Xenopus tropicalis: one gene and its partner. The protein of the gene in region 2 binds, or shares a complex with, the protein of the main gene of each other region. Links are inferred from orthologs where the notes say so. Each region holds a gene or a part of one and is shown on either strand. Other genes may lie near its edges.

Region 1 (5,031 bases), on a different chromosome or scaffold from region 2:
GTTAAAGGTTTAGAAAGGCTGAAAATGTCTTGTATATAAATTCTGCAGTGTGCTTCAGAGCCTTACAACATGTATGTATGTATTGAACTGCATGTAAGATTTATGCCACTGATGACTGATGAGTTATTACTGTGCAAATCTGTTACTATACTGGAAATATTACATGCAGGAGGCTGAGATGGACAGAATTCCCAGTAAAAGTTGATCATCACCAAACAGGGCCCTAGTGCTGTACAAAGGACAGATTGTCCCAGAATATCCTTATAAATGAACAGTGGGACCGTATGAAGCCTTTGATTAATCTGCCCTTGTACTGAATTAGGTCACTGTTTGCTAACCACATTTTTAAAAAATGTGATCCCTTTCCCATCAATATGCCAGGGCTGATGCTGCATGTGAGGTGGCCGCTGTAACCCAGTTTCTATTCTTGGATCAGCCTAGGGGCACACTGGCCACACGTACTACTAACTTTTTTAGGGAATTTTTTTTAATGCACGTGCCCTCTCTAGGACTGGAGAGTAGAGTGTGTGAGTGGCAAATCAGATTTGTAATCACATACATTTTGTATGCATTAAAGCACTCAAAGGAAGGATTTGACATTCAACAATGAAAACTCCAGGATCAGGGTTTAGGCTCTTGGGATGAATCTCTCTATAACTATAACTCTGGGTTTCTATGCAGAGGGCAGGCCCGGACTGGCAATCTGTGGGTTCTGGCAAATGCCAGAGGGGCTGCTGTAAGATGCTATAGACAGTCACTATTTAGGGTCACTTTGTACTTGAAATGCCAGGGCCTCATTTTTGAATATCAGGCCTGGCAGAGCAGAGGGAGTCACTCTGCCGTATTTGCTGGACCAACAGTGCATTGAAATGCTAGATCCATGAAATAGAAATTGCAGTGGTCATTGTGTTATAAATTTCTGAAGCCACTTTGCAATAAATACTTGGGTTTCACTGTTATAAACAGCTGGAAACAAAATTTGTCAGGAAATGCTGTGGCCACTGTAAAATATATGTTTGAGCCACATTCTAATAAATTGTTGTGTTTAAACAGGCGTAGCATAGAAATCAGAAAAGCCAATGTTTGGATTGACATTCTCATAAAACTGCATCCTACTGAACCTTGAGCATCATAATACAGCAATGCTGTTAAGAAGCCATGCATATCCTCACCTTACACTCGCAGCCCATTTCATACCGCTGATTGAGACTCTTTTTCTGAGTTGGGCTAAGAGAATCCCATGGCACAATAAAGTCACAGAGGGTTACGTGCATCTTTCCATCACCATCTGCTTTACCTGAAGGGGCAGTAAATGGAAAGTGAAGGGTCAAGGCAGGAGATAAGATGGCATTATCAAACAGATATACAAACTTATCATACCTGCAATCAGATATTCCTTCTTTCCAGCAATTTCCAGTGTCACCCCGCACACTGCTGATGATGGAGCAGTGTAGATAAATTCTATATCCTTATCGGGTCCCTTAAACATCTGCAAGGATAGGCAGAGCAAATCATAATCAGATTTTAAGGACAAAAATGAGACATACAGGGAGGTTTTCAGATAAATAACTGATATATTGTGCAACATAACAACACTACTATTAAATTCAAAAGCAATTATGAGACCTATTTCTTCTTGTACTGCAATATTTTGAATACTTTTACAAAACTCCCATTAAGCCATCCCCATCCCAGTCTTTATAGTTATAGCAATATTTTGCTGGGAAATCTCAGTCACCACAGCCATGTTTTTATTTCTTTGCAGCCTGCCCTGTGGGTGGAAAGCCAAAGCCACAATCCAAATGACATGCAAGCTTGGGGGCAGCCTTCCTAAGCACACAGTGATGTATTTATAGGTGATGGGCAGCAGGTAGGACATCCCCTGTCTTGTAAGGTGCAAGCCAGCTAGAGTGTGCCATCAGCCCAAGGTGCAGCAGAGCCCTGTACTTAACCATGGAGCGATATCTGTCCAGATCATTTGCTCAACACATATGAACTGATTATCGTATGAAACCTTGTACATGTATGACGAACATTTTTGGTTCTTAAAGCTAACGTGGGTAGCCTTTTGGTTAAGTCCCACACTGCCATGTGTAGTTTTCACTTCCTAATGATGTATCCCACAAAATATGTATTCCACTGCAAAAGTCATGTTTGTGGCTAATTAAAATTGGTTACACGCCAAGTGAGTGTGGGCCTTTCCTATCTATTTTGCACTGGGATGATATAGTCACACCCTGTCCTGGGAACCTTCCTTGCTGTGTTTCACACCTTGCCTCATGGCAGGAGCAGGACTCAGGGTCGGTCTGGACCCTGCCAGGAACTGCAGCCACTCCCTCCACCCCCCATCCACATGGGCGAATGCAGTAAGATAGGCGGTACATACGTTCATCGCCATTGTTGGGCTCAGCCCAAAAAGGTGCAATTTATAGCCCCTAGTGCCCTAGTTCATGATTACATGGATTGCTGCTTGCATTGTATGGGTTCTGCTAGTTTGCAGCCTGCCAATGATCTCTGCCTGGTTATCAAATACCATTGTATAATGCCCTTTGGCCTGGACTCCGGTTCTGCTTTCCTTGTACCAGTCACACTGTCTTACTAGTCTGGTGTCTCAAGTGAGGTAGGCTCTCCATACAGTGTCAAAATAGGCAGGAGCTGGAGATTTATCAGCTGGGACGGTCAAATACTGGCTGGATGGCCCCACTGACCCAGGAACTTTGGCCGGTCCACATATATATATATATATTTTTTTATATATTTGTTGGGTTTTTTTTGACAATAATAAAAAAGGCACATTAAAAAAATCAAACCAGAACTTGCATTTTATTGAACTTTATTATTCTGTCATATGAACATTTCTGCATTCACACTCACACAGATAAATACACTTACATTACACAGTTACTCTGCACAGTACTCAGGCATAACACACTGCATCCACATATAAGTAACAGCTACATAAATACTTATAGAAACCTGTCAGCTTGGAGTAGACATTATTTTTCTTATATTTAGGGTTTATAAGGCTAAAAAACATTGATTACTGTATTTTGAGAGAATGTACCTCTGCTAATGTTGATTGGTACCTGAAAATAACTAGCAGATATGGAAAGGAAAATATATATATATATATATATATATATATATATATATATATATATATTATCTGAATTTTCAGATCATGGAACAACAGCCTCTGTATTAATGAACTCTCCCTACCTCCTCCAGCCAACTATACACGGTCATACAAATGTGACATTTCTGTAGTTGTACTTCATGGTACTTGACGCATAAGGAGGTTAGCCCTGTAACTTATGGGTGATGGTGCTGTGAGTGTGCTCTGCAGTAACACAAACAGCATTGGACAGTGGCCTCCTTCACAACTAGAAGTACATGGACCTCTTGCTTGAGTCTGAGAATCTCGGTACTCAGCAGCTTCAGCTTTTATTTATGGTTCCTTCTTCCGCGCAAGTGGGGGACAGTGAATCTACAAAAAGGAGTTTAAAAGGTTAATTTGCATTTATTATGAATTTATAGTGGTATCTCTCCCTGACCAAGGGCCAGAGACATTCCTCATGCACCAAGAAGATCACAAAAATGTCTGTCCTGTTGTTAGTTATGTTTTACAGCTTGAGCAAGAATGAGCAATTTCAACATGGAAAGCACTCCTGAGATAAAAAGCCATCATTAGCATCTTGGCCATAGAGCATACTACAGGATAGCAATGTTTCAAGGCAGACCCATTACCAGCTACTAAAAATTGCCAACATATTATAGCCTGTCTCACAGTGACCCCTTGTGGTTACATTGTAAAAAAAACACAATACTAATGTCACAACCATCAGATAAATATATAAAGTACAAGTATGGGACCCATTATCCGGAAACCTGTTATCCAGAAAGTTCAGACTTACAGAAAGGCAATCTACCATAGACTTCATTTTAATAAAATAATTTTTCTCTGTAATATTAAGACAGTACCTTGTACTTGATCCTAATTAAGATATAATCCATCATTTTTGGAGCCAAAACAACCTGAACATAAAGTTACTAGACCTGACTTTTACATTCTATGGTCATTTGTATCTGGGATCCCTCCTTTGAGCCATCACACTGGGGTTTATTAACAAACATGGCTCGTCTTTAGGACATTTTATCTGTGTAGCCATTAAGACAAGGGAAAATGCCCTGGCAGTTATCCTCCTACATAAACACAGATTACAGTTAAGTCAATAATTTTTACTAACAGTCTCTTAGGGCCGTGACACACGGGGAGATTAGTCGCGGGATTAATCTCCCCGCAATGCCATCCCACTGGCTATACTGTATACAGCTGGTGGGATGGCATACGCGGCGCCGCAATGTCCCGAAGTCGCCCGAAGTTTCCTCTCAAGACAGGATATCGCAGCGGCACGTATGCCATCCCACGGCCGATTTACATTCTAGCCGGTGGGATGGCATTGCAGGGAGATTAGTTGCCCGCGACAACAAAGATTTGTTGCGGGGCGACTTATCTCCCTATCTGCCACTGCCCTTAAGTATCAAATGTAAGAGATTATACCCAGCCAGGGGCGCTGATACCATGAGGAAAACCTTTTACCAGGGGTGGCAAAAAGCTACTTCTGCCAACTTTAAGAGTTGAAGTTCTGGTTATTTAACCAAAATCTTGGCTTTTCTAGTGCCTTCTGCATTAGTGAAGCAGCCCCCCCCCCCCCCCCCCCCCCCATGACCCGCTACAGGGCTGAATTTCTGAGCTGCCTCAGGATGTCCTAAGGCCCAGAAAGGCCCTTTACCTAGCTTTAAGCATGCGTTAAATAATGGGAGCAGTAAAAAAAGGCTTATGCAAAGGACTACCCAGTATGTTGCTTTGCGCAAGGTGCTACTTAGCTTAAGACAGGGCCTCTGTACAAAGATGCAGGAAAATGAAGTGGTATAAGGAAGGCTTGTGTTAAAAAAAGAACATTCCTCTTTTCCTCAGACTGTACCTGTACCTTATACAAAGGACTAAATCTGTATCAGTACCAGATTTGT
Region 2 (5,805 bases):
TTGCGAGGGGACATGATTACTCTGTACAAGTACATTAGAGGGGATTATAGGCAGTTGGGGGATGTTCTTTTTTCCCATAAAAACAATCAACGCACCAGAGGTCACCCCTTTAGTTAGAGGAAAGGAGCTTCCATTTGAAGCAGCGTAGGTGGTTTTTCACGGTGAGGGCAGTGAGGTTATGGAATGCCCTTCCTAGTGATGTGGTAATGGCAGATTCTGTTAATGCCTTTAAGAGGGGCCTGGATGAGTTCTTGATCAATCAGAATATCCAAGGCTATTGTGATACTAATATCTACAGTTAGTACTAGTGGTTGTATTTATAGTTTATGTATGTGAGTGTATAGATTGGTAGGTGTGGGTTGGGTGTGCTGGGTTTACTTGGATGGGTTGAACTTGATGGACACTGGTCTTTTTTCAACCCTATGTAACTATGTAACTATGAAGAAGGGAGGTTCCATTTAAATATTCGGAAAGGATTTTTTACAGTGAGAGCTGTGAAGTTCTGGAATTCCCTCCCCGAATCAGTCGTGCTGGCTGATACATTATATAACTTTAAGAAGGGGCTGGATGGATTCTTAGCAAGTGAGGGAATACAGGGTTATGGGAGATAGCTCTTAGTACTAGTTGATCCAGGGACTGGTCCGATTGCCATCTTGGAGTCAGGAAGGAATTTTTTCCCCTCTGCGGCAAATTAGAGAGGCTTCAGATGGGTTTTTTTTGCCTTCCTCTGGATCAACTAGTAGTTAGGCAGGTTATATATAGGCATTATGGTTGAACTTGATGGACGCATGTCTTTTTTTCAACCCAACTTACTATGTTACTATAACGTACTGTTGCCCTGCAATGGTAAAACTGGTGTGTTCGCGTCAGGAACACTACTATTGTTTATATAAATACGCTGCTGTGTAGCCATGGGGGCAGCCATTCAAGCTGGAAAAAAGGAGAAAAGGCACAGTTTACATAGCAGATAACAGATAAGACACCATTGTATTCTACAGGGTTTATCTGTTAGCTGCTATATAACCTGTGCCTTTTCTTCTTTTGAATGGCTGCCCCCATGGCTACACAGCAGGGTTTATATAAACTCTTGTAATGTTTCTGAGGCAAATACACAACTTGTACCAGTGCAGGGCAGAAGTACATTATAGTTTAATTTCTTTTAAATATATAAATTTTTTGGTGTTACTGTTCCTTTAATTGCAGAAGTGTTCCCACTGGTGTATCGCACACTTTGGTATTGATCTCATGTTGGTGATGGTTCATCCTTGTGCAAAGTTTTTGTCTTATTTGTCCAATATACATTCATCCTGTAGAGCACTTAGTACATATGATCATGTACAACACTTTGGAGGAAGCACAAGAATAGCAGTCTCAAATGGTGTCGAATTTTTGTGTATCGGTATGTATTTTGTATTGCAATTTGATCTTTGCACAGGATAGAGGTAGATCAGAGAATATTTCCTTTAGTCTGGTATCTGTATGGAGCATGGGTTGCAGGTCTCTGACTATTTTTCTCATAATGTTCAGCTGTGGGTTGTAGGTGAGTACAGGTAGGTTTTATTTATTATTTTTGCTACTGGCTAACACAGCACTACAGTTTTTGTTCCATGCCAGGACTTTTGTTGGCTTCTTACTACTTCCCATAATATACAATGTTCTTGTTTTTTTCTGTACAATCACTCACAAATATTTACATTACATATGTGAAAAACTGTGAATATAAAAATTAAAATTGAATAACGCTTCCATAGTGTGCCTGTTTTGTCCCTTAGAAATTAATTAATGAATAGATTCAAACACTGAAACCAGTTTATAGTTTTAGTGTCTTTGATTACAAGTACTGCTATTCTGAATCAACTCAGACTATCCACTTGTGAAGAAAGTGGAGGTGGGGCAGCAGTTCCCTTACAGGAATGTCAGATTTTGCCAGCAAGCTTTGAGTTAAACAGACTTGGCAGCAGCATCTGGCCTCTCCCCTTCTCATGTTTCCAGACTTCCTCTTGCGGTAGCAGCAGAATGTACATCTGGATAGCTCTCCATACAAAGAAACTGCAATACAGACAACTGGAATGAACAGTCCATTTATCTATTAGAACAGACCCATAAAGGTTTTCGGCAGATACTCAGGCTGCATCATGCGGACTATTAATGTTCATGTTTTAGTCTTCATTTTCAAAAGTCTCAGTACATTTTATTATGTTTCTTCTGCACCATCTCCTATTATAAAGTTTCCAGGAGACAAATCTCCAAAGTCAGACGTTGAATTTGCTGCGGTAAGTTGGCTCTTTCATTGTACAGTTGTAATATCCATGTACCAATGGATAATTCAGCTACTTTTTTGTTGTAAGGTAAAAAAATACTAAAAGAACAGAAAGTTTCTTTGTTGGATTGTTTGTTGAATGGAGTTTTACTGTGCTTTCAGCCTACATATCATTATAATTATAATACAGATAAGCATAGGGGTATGTTAGAGTCAAGGGACAGAGATCATTTGTATAAACTAGGGGGTTGTTTCATTAATTTTCAAGAGGACTGGGCTGAACAGAAAAAAACAAAAGTTTTTCTTTCTGACCTTTTTTTTTTACTGGGATGGGTTTTTGTCATTTTTTTAATCAAAATACAAGGATTACCATGTTTTAGGAAGTTTATAGTTAATAAATCAGTCCCCAAATGTTTTTTTGTTGCTGAGATACTTGGTTTACTGCAGGAAACAAAATCTGATCTTTTCTAATGTTTTGTTGCTCCTGTACTTCTTTAATGAAACATAGCCCAGCATAATATAACAACAGCATCATTCTTTATCCAAGCAAATCTTAGCGGACAATCTATTCTGCTCACACAGTGCACAAAACAAAACTTGTTATGGTGGATTCTTGGGTGGTTATTGATAATGGAACTCTGATTTAGCTTTTAATAGTGGTGTGGGATCAATTATGGAGAATGCAGGAGAACTAGAATTTTCTTTTTTATTATTTGGATCATCATACCTGAAATCTTCTAATCAACATTTAACCTTTAAATTAAACAAGTAGGATTGCTTGGTTACCAGCATGTACAAGGTACTAATTTAGTTACTTATTATTATTTGTGTAAAAGGATATAAGATTCCATATTTTTATTTTTTAGAAAAAGAGGATTCTTTTTAGTAATACATTTCTTTTAGTCAGTCATGTGACACAAGCAAAATCAGTAAGCACATGTGATATTACTTACCACTATTTTTATGGATATAGCTATTGTACGTATGGGATTGAATAAAAGATGATGTGATCCTAATATATAAAAAAAAGTAATATGATGGCAATTATAGGCAATTATAGGTCTATAAGTTGACACCTATGGTGGGCAAGCATTTTTTTAAATGCTTTAGTTAGTAGAGCTTCTCCAGCAGAATCTTGCATTGAAATCCATTTTTCAAAAACACAGATTTTTTTATATTTAATTTTGACATTTCACATGAGGCTAGCCATATTCCTCATTTCCGAGGGTGCTACAGCCATGTGACCTGTGCTCTGATAAACTTCAGTCACACTTTACTGCTGAGCTGAAAGTTAGAGTGAGATCATCCCCTCCCTTTCCCTCCAGCAGCCGATCAGCAGAACAATGGGAATGTAGCAAGATAGCAGCTCCCAGTATAGATCACAATAGCACTTAATAGTAAGAAATCCAAGTCCGGCTTGGGACTCCTTCAGTTACGTGGGAGAAGGAGAAACAATAGGTTATCTGAAAGCAGTTCTAATGTGTAGCACTGGCTCTTACGAAAAGCTCAGACTCAGGCACAATACACTGAAATTGTGTCTACACACCAATTTTACAACTAAAAAAATACATTTTTTGGTTCGAGAATAAAATTTTAAATGGTAGAGAGAATTATTTGCTATGTAAACAGTGTAATTTAGAAATAAGTACACCATAAAATCACGACAAAATCTCTTTAAAGGATCATATTCAAGATTATTTTCTGGGAATGACATTACAAATAGTAATATAAATGAATGTATGAGGGACAGATAATGTCAATCAAATGTAATTGCGTTTTATGATAAAGTAGAAAATAAAGCCTATTGGTCTTGGTACATAGTTGAAAACAGTCCGTCAGGTTTAACCCTTGCAAATGAACCCCATTGCATATTTATACACAGACATATAAAGACCTATCTATACACTATTATATATAATATATATATAAACAATATATACCATTACCTATACTAAACTAACTGTAAATCCTATGAACCTATTAGGCTTGGATATTATGTTTGTTCATCCAAGCCACTCTTAAATGGATTAATAGAATATGCCATCACAACATCACCCAGAAGATTATTCAACAACTGTATTGCCCCCACTGTGAAAAACTTCCGCTCAAATAAAATTTCAGCTCCTCAGGTTAAAAGGGGTGGCTTTGTTTTCCATGGGAAAAAAGATTCCCTGCTATCAGTCTATAATGTCCTCTAAAGTAAACTGCAACTCATTAATATTTATCTTACGTACTCAAAAAATGCACTGCATATTCAAGGTGCGTCCTGCTCTTTTTTATATAAGAGAGTACTTTATTTGCTTTAGTAGCCATTTATTGACTGTGGCTGGAGTTACACACTTTGTTATCCACAAAAATCCACAAATCCTTCTCAATTAAGGAGCTATAATTTAGTGTATAACTAGCATTTATGTTCATATTTCTGCCAATGTGTAGAACCTTGCATTTGACAATTGCTGCCCATTTCTCCAGTTGAGTCAAATCTCTCCACAAATTGGCAACAACCTCCATGAAAGTTATGGTTTTGCACAATTTAGTATCGTCAGCTATTACAATGCCAACCTCATGGTCATTTATAAAGAAATTAAAGCAAAGGGCCACAAATGACAGACAGTAGTGGTACTTTACTAATAACTCTAATCCAAATTGGAAAAGTACTAAAATAACTGTTAAAGGGGTGGTTCACCGTTAAGTTAACATTTAGTATCTTATAGAATGGCCAATTCTAAGCAATTTTTCAATAGGTCTTCCTTATTTTTTTATAGTTTTTAAATTATTTGCTTTCCTCTCCAGCTTTCAAATGGGGGTCACTGACCCCAGAAGCCAAAAATGGTTGCTCTGTAAGGCTACAATTTTACTGTTGTTTCTTTCTTTTTATTACTTTTTTTTTATTTAGATTTTCGCCTATTCATATTGCATTCTCTCATTATAACCACTCCCTGGTTGCTAAGGAATTTGTACCCTAGCAACCAGTTAGTTGCTGAAATTCTAAACTGGAGAGCTGCTAAACAAAAACTGGAATCATTAAAAAACTAAAAAAAAAAATTTCAAAATTGTCTCAGAATATTGGTCTTCCCATCATACTTAACTTAACTCCAAAGTGAACAAGCGAAAAAATACTACATTACCTGATTTACCTACTTTACACCTTCTTCACACTGCAAAGACCCACATGGTGAAGGTCTTCTCAGCCTCCACTGCATTTCAAATACATTACCTTAGTAGAAGAAGTAAGAAAATTAGAGAAAATAACTCATGTAATACACAATAAATGTAAAGATTACTGGAATATATGGGAATCATGGCTCACCCTTATACAGGCCAGGAAAAATAAGGCCTCTCTCACATAAATGGAACTTCCACTTCCCCAAACTTAGAAACACAGGCCCTAGCCCAGAAATGAAGGAATATTAGATTTCAGGATTCAAAATACTGCTATGTAGTGTATAGATGTAAACTTGTTAAGTTGCTGATGTATGTTATAAGACTGTTTTCACCCTCTACCCCCCTCTTGCTTTCTTTAAACTTGAATATACATGAAAAAG

What was found.
Region 1: the proteins of mmp2 (region 2) and timp2 are in contact, whole or in part, in a crystal structure (PDB 1GXD), measured with the Homo sapiens proteins. The link is inferred for Xenopus tropicalis from reciprocal best matches to the Homo sapiens genes MMP2 and TIMP2. Residues at the interface, in NP_004521.1 of Homo sapiens: Trp574, Lys576, Asn577, Lys579, Tyr581, Phe588, Arg590, Lys595, Asp599, Phe602, Lys604, Ile606, Ala607, Asp608, Ala609, Trp610, Asn611, Ala612, Asp615, Tyr636, Leu638, Leu645, Lys646, Ser647, Val648, Lys649, Phe650, Gly651, Ser652; in NP_003246.1 of Homo sapiens: Ile162, Pro163, Cys164, Tyr165, Ile166, Pro169, Leu173, Met175, Val178, Thr179, Phe191, Arg196, Asp198, Ser200, Cys201, Ala202, Trp203, Tyr204, Arg205, Ala208, Lys211, Gln212, Glu213, Phe214, Leu215, Asp216, Glu218.

The regions. Positions count from the first base shown.
Region 1 is NC_030686.2:22,358,724-22,363,754, forward strand, and holds part of timp2 (metalloproteinase inhibitor 2 precursor), read right to left. Parts: intron 1,490-5,031; coding exon 1,381-1,489; intron 1,298-1,380; coding exon 1,173-1,297; intron 1-1,172. UniProt on the Homo sapiens protein: Complexes with metalloproteinases (such as collagenases) and irreversibly inactivates them by binding to their catalytic zinc cofactor. Known to act on MMP-1, MMP-2, MMP-3, MMP-7, MMP-8, MMP-9, MMP-10, MMP-13, MMP-14, MMP-15, MMP-16 and MMP-19.
Region 2 is NC_030680.2:42,693,356-42,699,160, forward strand, and holds the start of mmp2 (72 kDa type IV collagenase precursor), read left to right. Parts: upstream 1-2,108; 5' UTR 2,109-2,135; coding exon 2,136-2,273; intron 2,274-5,805.